Caenorhabditis elegans: one gene and its partner. The protein of the gene in region 2 purifies or fractionates together with the protein of the main gene of each other region. This does not show direct contact. Each region holds a gene or a part of one and is shown on either strand. Other genes may lie near its edges.

Evidence for each region.
Region 1: the proteins of tomm-70 (region 2) and Y54G2A.32 fractionate together in Caenorhabditis elegans (co-fractionation; one large-scale study listed by BioGRID). This does not show direct contact.

What each region holds. Positions count from the first base shown.
Region 1 is NC_003282.8:2,801,997-2,805,449, reverse strand, and holds Y54G2A.32 (DUF148 domain-containing protein), read right to left. Parts: upstream 1,443-3,453; coding exon 1,320-1,442; intron 1,266-1,319; coding exon 1,188-1,265; intron 1,139-1,187; coding exon 968-1,138; intron 914-967; coding exon 824-913; intron 779-823; coding exon 677-778; 3' UTR 645-676; downstream 1-644. Other genes in the region: Y54G2A.44 (DUF148 domain-containing protein), read right to left, coding at 2,210-2,311, 2,360-2,449, 2,694-2,864, 2,919-2,996, 3,297-3,419.
Region 2 is NC_003281.10:8,753,048-8,756,802, reverse strand, and holds the start of tomm-70 (Mitochondrial import receptor subunit tomm-70), read left to right. Parts: upstream 1-2,052; 5' UTR 2,053-2,057; coding exon 2,058-2,174; intron 2,175-2,220; coding exon 2,221-2,524; intron 2,525-2,572; coding exon 2,573-2,655; intron 2,656-2,701; coding exon 2,702-2,865; intron 2,866-2,912; coding exon 2,913-3,194; intron 3,195-3,259; coding exon 3,260-3,332; intron 3,333-3,377; coding exon 3,378-3,440; intron 3,441-3,489; coding exon 3,490-3,755. Other genes in the region: Dwarfin sma-2, read right to left, coding at 1-75, 1,086-1,264, 1,450-1,763. UniProt on the Caenorhabditis elegans protein: Receptor that accelerates the import of all mitochondrial precursor proteins.

The DNA.
Region 1 (3,453 bases), on a different chromosome or scaffold from region 2:
CACCGAGTTACGTTGCATGATTCTAAAATCATGATTTGGAAGCAAATTTGTACTTTCGCCTTTCCATTTTCACATAATTATATTCGATTCCGTCATCTTTCCCGTTATCAGCAAGACATCTAATTAAATGTTTTATTACATTTTCAGAATCTCCGAGTTTTATTGCATATAATATTTGTGCTACGAAACACAGTTTCTGTTGGGTCTGTAAATAACTCGAATTTCAGCGAACCCCAGTTTACGAAAACTTCGAATTTCCAAGTATACTGAAGTAATGGAAAGATTGATCAATAATTCTATTATGTGCTTAAAAATTTCAGCTCAATTGGACCACTGGGAGCCAAGTTATGGACGTGAACTTGGGCGAGGTAGACCGCGACGCGGCCGCGTCGCACACCCTCCAGTTTTTGAAAGCTCATAACTTTGTGCATTGCGGTCCTGGAGTTCTGGAATTCGTGGAGAGTGTGCCCGCTGGCTTATCCAATCACATGATGAGGCAAAGTGCAATAAAAAGATTATGTTCGAACCTGAAAACTAATTTGAAAGGGTTTATTTACATAGACAATAATGTACTAAAGCGGATAAAACTACACTGCAAATTACTTGGCATGTATGGATTGTTCAATATTCTTGTTCCTACAATATAACAATATTTCATTTTTCGAAGTAAGAAAAACTATAGAGTCCATTGAAGGTTAGCATAGTCTTTAGCGTTGGCCTTCGCAAACTTTCCAGTCAAATCTGTCACAGAGTCTTGAATTGTTGGGGTCTTCTTGATCTAAAAAATATAATTCTCAGATTTCAAAACAAGGATTTAATGTACTTTTTGCATTGCTTCCATCATGAATGTCTGGCATGTCACGGTGTAGTTGTTGTTTGCCTTGGTGTCAGCAGCCCAGAACATGGTTTTCATCTGGAACAATTTTATATTTTAGGTTCAGACCCTGACAAGCAATAGAAAACTCACATTGTTTGCTTCAGCTTTAGTCAAGTACTTTGTGGAAATTGCCTGATTATATAGGTAGTTAATGTATTTTTTGAGAGAATATCGGTAGTCGATGAAGGTTAGAGCCTTGTTCTGTGCGTAGGCTTGCTTGGAGAGCTGATTTTTGGCATCCGGCTTTGCGTTTGCTGCTTTCTAGAAATATTGGAATTATGGAAGCCTTAGTTGTAAGTATGCTGCTCACCCAATTCTTCGGCACCCAATTCTTCACTGCAGTCTTTGCCTTGGCTATTGTGGTTTGTTTATTCACATTGGTAGTTAGCTGAAAATGAAATCAAAGTTACCTTTTCTCGTTGAATTAAAGTCTGAAACCCACCGTTTTAACTTTGGCCGCCGCAGCATACGGAAAAATCTTCTGAAGTGCTCCAACCACAATTTGATCACTTGCAACGTAGGCGCTTAGCGAACACAGGAGAAACAGAGAAATGACACGTGTCATCTGAAAGTCTCACTAGTTATTGAATCCAATTCGCACCGAAAATTAATACAAAAAACCTTTCAAAATCGCTGTATACGTGCACTCTTTATAACAGTTGACGCCCACCATGTTTAATCCGACAGTAAGTCCAATCGTATGATGGGACAAAGTATGAAAAATAAAGTTATGAAAGTAGTTTTTAGTTAGAACAATTGACATACTTTTTATACAATGAGATGCATTATTTTAAACAAGACTACACACAATTTGTCAGGAATAATTGAGGAAATACGTTAAGTAAATCTAATTTTAAACTTTAAACATATACATGTAGTGAACTACTGTAATATTTTATTATGTAAAATATCTATTTAGCGTAAACGTCATATACGGAAGTTTCTACCGATCAATCCTACGAAACTAATAAAACATCATTGTATGTATTCTCATTCAAAAAAAAAAAAAACTATTTCCGCATGCTACTATTAATGAATCACTGTTATTTACACAGTTTATATAATGTGCTAGCTATCACGTTTGACGGAAACGATCATGTTCCATCAACTTTGGTGCAAGCCATAGTGCATTGAACAAACTACTAAAGTAAGGCTCAACTCTAACCTCATCAATCTATGCATCAATTTTCAAAATGTTATGGAAAACAGCAAATTTTAAATTCGAAATTCAAAGTTTCAAATTTATCAAAAATTCCACTGTATAACTATTCTAGCAGTCTTTACTGATGTTTAAACCAAAAAGAACAACTTCATTATTCCTTTACAAATATATCACAGAGTCCATTGTAGGTTAGCGTTGTCTTTAGCGTTAGCCTTCGCGAATTTTCCAGACAATTCGCCCATAGCTTGATCGATTGAAGGGGTCTTATGAATCTGAAAACTTTGAAATTCTATCGAATTTTTAAACAAGAGGTCTCATACCTTTTGAGAAGCCTCCACCATGAACGTCTGCGTTGTCTCGATGTAGTTGTTGTTCGCCTTGGCGTCAGCAGCCCAGAACAAGGTTCTCATCTAAAAAAGAGACACATTTATTGAATGTGTTAGGTATTCTGAATTTTGTCTGAAAATTTTGAAGCTTTACGCTAATTTTGAGCAGAGATATACCGGCTTGAAGTTTTTAAGCCGACAGCGGCGCGGCCGCAACGCAACCGCTGCGTATCCGCGCCGCGCTATCAAAACTACAATCAAAACTACAAACAGCTGTAACTTTGCTCCAAGTGGCCCTGGAGCCTTAAAATTTTTGAAGGAAACTCACACTAGTTGCCTCCTCTTTGGTCAAGTATTTGGTGGCGATTGCCTGTTTATAAAGATAATTGATGTACTTTATAAGGGAGTATCTGTAGTCTATAAAGGTCATCGCCTTCTTCTCTGCATAACCTTTTTTTGAGAGGGGATTTTTGGCATCTGGCTTGACTTTTGTGGCTTTCTGAATAAAAAATTACAGGTTTATTGGTAAACTGAGGTATAGTTATAAACTCACCCAATTCTTCGGCACCCATTTCTTCACCACTGCTTTCGCCTTGGCTATACTTTTTTGCTTATTTACAGTGTTGGTTAGCTGAAAAAAAGTAAGTTATCGGAAGAAGCCGTTCCAAAACAAATTCTCCCCGGCCGGGAATTGAACCCGGGTCTCGCATGCGACAGACGCGGATACTCACCACTATACTACCGAGGACACGGCGGAGAGCCTGTCTTAAGAGCGTAGAGGAAAATGGAGAGCCGCGGTGTGTAATAAGTTGCGTACAATACAACAAACTTGACGGGCTTTTAAACGATTCTTTTGAATTTTCGCTAATTTTTAGTGAATTTTCATTACTTTTTCATAATAAAATACATCCATACATCAACAACAACTCACCGTTTTAACCTTCGCCGCCGCAGCATACGGGAAAATCTTCTGAAGTGCTCCAACCATAATTTGATCACTTGCCACGTAGACACTAAGAGAACACAAGAGGAATATGGTAATTGCACGTGTCATCTGAAATTCAAACTAAGTAAAGTAAAGTAAAGAA
Region 2 (3,755 bases):
TGACATACGAATAAATGTCATTTTTTGTAGATCAAATGAGGCGTCGAATCCACGGCGACTGCAGTCCTCGAGAAGCTGAAAAATTTAGTTTTTCTTATTAGGTCTCCAAATAAGTTCCGGGTCAAAAATCATAACTTTGTTCACTGCGTATCGATTTTTATGAAACTGTGGGAATTTATGTTATCAACCATGATCTTTCATTTGACAATAGTCACAAAATTTTTTGGCCGTCCGAAGTGCCCTAACTCGGAGCCAATGTTTTCAGGCATTTTTCAGATCTCGCTTCTTTTACGCTTTGATTTGAGGTTTGTGTGCGGATTTAGCTTTGTTTAGTACACAATGTAAGAAAACAAGAAAAGTTTAGAAAAAAATCCGTCCAAAAAAAAATTTTTTTGTCGGTCGTCAAAAAATGCTCAAAAAAGTTTTTGTCGAAAATTCTTGATTTTTTATACAAATATGATGTAACCATGTGCAAACTATTTATTTTGCACATGGTTACATCATTTTTGTATGAAAAATCAAGAATTTTGGACAAAAATTTTTTTGAACATTTTTTGACGACCGACAAAAAAAATTTTTTTTTTAACGGATTTTTTCCAAACTTTTCTTGTTTTCTTACATTGTGTACTAAACAAAGCTAAATCCGCACACGAACCTCAAATCAAAACGTAAAAGAAGCGAGATCTGAAAAATGCCTGAAAAATTTGGCTCCGAGTTAGGGCACTTCGGACGGCAAAAAAATTTTGTGACTATTGTCAAATGAAAGATCATGGTTGATAACATAAATTCCCACAGTTTCATAAAAATCGATACGCAGTGAACAAAGTTATGATTTTTGACCCGGAACTTATTTGGAGACCTAATAGTTTCAGTTACTATTTTTTGCCCAAGAACATGGCTTCGCCAGTTTTAATGTGTGTACCTTTAAAAAGTACAGTAACCCAGTTTTTTTCAAAAAGTATAAGAATAGGCTACCGTACTGCTTAAAGGTACACATATTGCTGTGAGACTGCAATTTTAAGTTATTTTGTGCGTGACGAGACCTTTTCTTGACTCAAACATTGCAATTACGTGAATTAGCTTACCTGTCTAAAAATCTCCATATCGAAAATCTTCAGTGAACACTTATTTGCAATTTTAACAACAGTTGTTGAGTGAAATCCATTGATATAATTACAATTACTAGATTGTACGAATATAGCTGAATCACTTTCACATTGAGCAAAGAGTGAGCCATTGCTACGTACGTAGGTTAGCTTGACACCTGGAATTACAAAAAGTTTGAAAATTTTCAATTTTTTAGTCATAGTCTTGCAAAAATTATGCGCCGAAGTACGGTACCCAATCTCCCGAAAATCAGGTTACTGTACTTCTTGAAGGCGCACGCGTGTTTTGCTCGGCCTTGATTTGAAAGTAATTCGTTCGTGGCGAGGCCGTGGGTGCTCTTACCGTTTCCAATATGTCTTCTTGTATTTTCAATAGTTGCATTTCGATTTACATTCGAAAACAGTCCCAGGCTAATTTTGCTTCCATTGATGCATGGATCAGTGAATCCATCGATAGTTATAGTTGTTGAAGACACTTTAACCTGTTCTCCGACTCTTGTATTCAATTCATAATAGCTAACAGTTGCCCAGAATTGTTCTTCCCAAACTTTATCGAATGGCACGAGACATGTTGGAACTCCTGGTGGAATGTCGAATTTCTGAGAAGTATCCATTTCCTCAATTCCATTTGGATTGTATTGATGAAATTGGTTGGCTCTAGAAAATTATTTATTAAATCCCTAATTAGAAAATATATTGATAATATTTCAACCTTTTTTTCTTTTCGTAACCTTTTCCCTCTCAAAGTTATTTTGGATCCAATTTTATTTACAACTTGCGACGATACTCCGGAATTCCACCGCATGCTGTTTATCGTAAATATTGCCTACTTTTCTTATCACTGAAATTTTACATCATTTTACCAATTTTTCTTCATTCTCTTTGAATTCTCAATTTTTCTAACTTAATCTTAACTTATATCATTTATCTATTTATTATTTTGTAGATATAATGGTCGAAACGACTGGAATCAGCGACCAAACGAAAAAAGTGCTGATCGGTGTGGCAGCTGCAGCGACAGTTGCAGGTGTAGGATACTTGGTATATAAGAGTTTTGGAGGTTCAGACGTGAGTTTCTAGTGTACAATGATATCAATTTCAAAACTAATTTCAGCTGGAAAGGGACTTGGAGGAAATAAAAGCATTGGGAAATTTGAAGTTTAAAGAGAAACAATACGATTCCGCACTAGAAGCATTCACAAAAGGAGTCGAAAAGGCCGGACCAAACTCTTCTGATCAAATTGTCGCAATGCTCTACCAAAATCGTGCAGCCTGTCGTGAAAAGGTTGGACACAGCCCTTTTGATATCCTCAACGACTGTATGGCTGCATTGAAAGTAGACAAAAAATACACCAAAGCATACTTGAGAGCAGCAAAAGCACTTAATGACGTCGGAAAGAAACAGGATGCTCTGGCGTGTGAGTTTCTGAAGATGTTACGAGAAAAGTATCAATTCCTGTTTTTAGATCTTCTTGCCGCGTTCACTTTGGATTCTAGCCTGAATAAGACGAATTTCGAATTCTTTGGAAAGCTTCTTGCTATAGAACCCGTAAGAGCCTAACAATTTCTTAAAGAAACTCAACTTTTTATTCTAGATGTCCGACTGTCACATTGGAAAACCACTCAAAATCGAAGATGTTAAGCCACAGCCAGTAGCTTTGTTCAGAATTCAGCAGTGGTGTGATACTTGGGATATTCTTGATCTTTTCAAAACAGATCTCACCAGATTCGAACCAGAAGTGCTCAGTGAAGACCAGAAGTAAGCTCTAATTCTAGATATACAGTAAAAATAATTATAAATTTCAGACAATACCAACTTGCACTGGAAAAGTTCAAAAAAGGAAAATACGAAGAACTGATTGATCTGCTTACTGAGGAAAACAGCTATCCTCCGGCAATGATCTTGCGTGGAAAAATGCTAAGCTACAGTACTGATCCTAACGAGGCAACGAGATATATCGATAAAGTTGGAGCAAAAATTAACGAACTGATTGGATCAGAAGAGGATGAGGAACGCAAAAAACTAATGAGAGATGCTTTCGATATTCTCAAGATTGAGCTAATGTATACTATGGCAGATTTGGATAAGTTAGTTTTTTTTCTTGATTTTCCAAAATATTTCCAGGTCTTGTCTAATTTTTTCTAATTTTCAGATTCCTGGAATCAGTTCCAAAAGACGATAAGGAAAGACTTTTCAAACTTTATTCGTTTGCATCTATTTTTGTGGTAATTCGATTAAATCATTTTTATTCTCTAAAAATATGGTTTCAGTATAATGGATGTGTTCTCGATACAGCAGTGACGAATCATGAGCAACAAATGATGGCGGATACAGTAAATTTAAATTCATAATTTTCTTATTTATAATTATTTAATTTTCCAGAACAATGCCAATAGACTTCTCACAGAAGCTGAAAAGAACGGAACTCTCACTCCACATCTTTCCATGATTGTTACATTCCTGAAGTTGTGTACCAGCGAAGACTACGCTGATGTTCATCGACGAATCCGAGAAATGGAAGAACTCGCAGAGAGTAGATCTACTCATTTCAATCTGGTTCTTATGTCCAAAGTATATATGATGACTAATAATGAGGAGAGCTCGAAGAAGTTGCTCGAAGAGGCTGCAAGGATTACTACGAGATATTT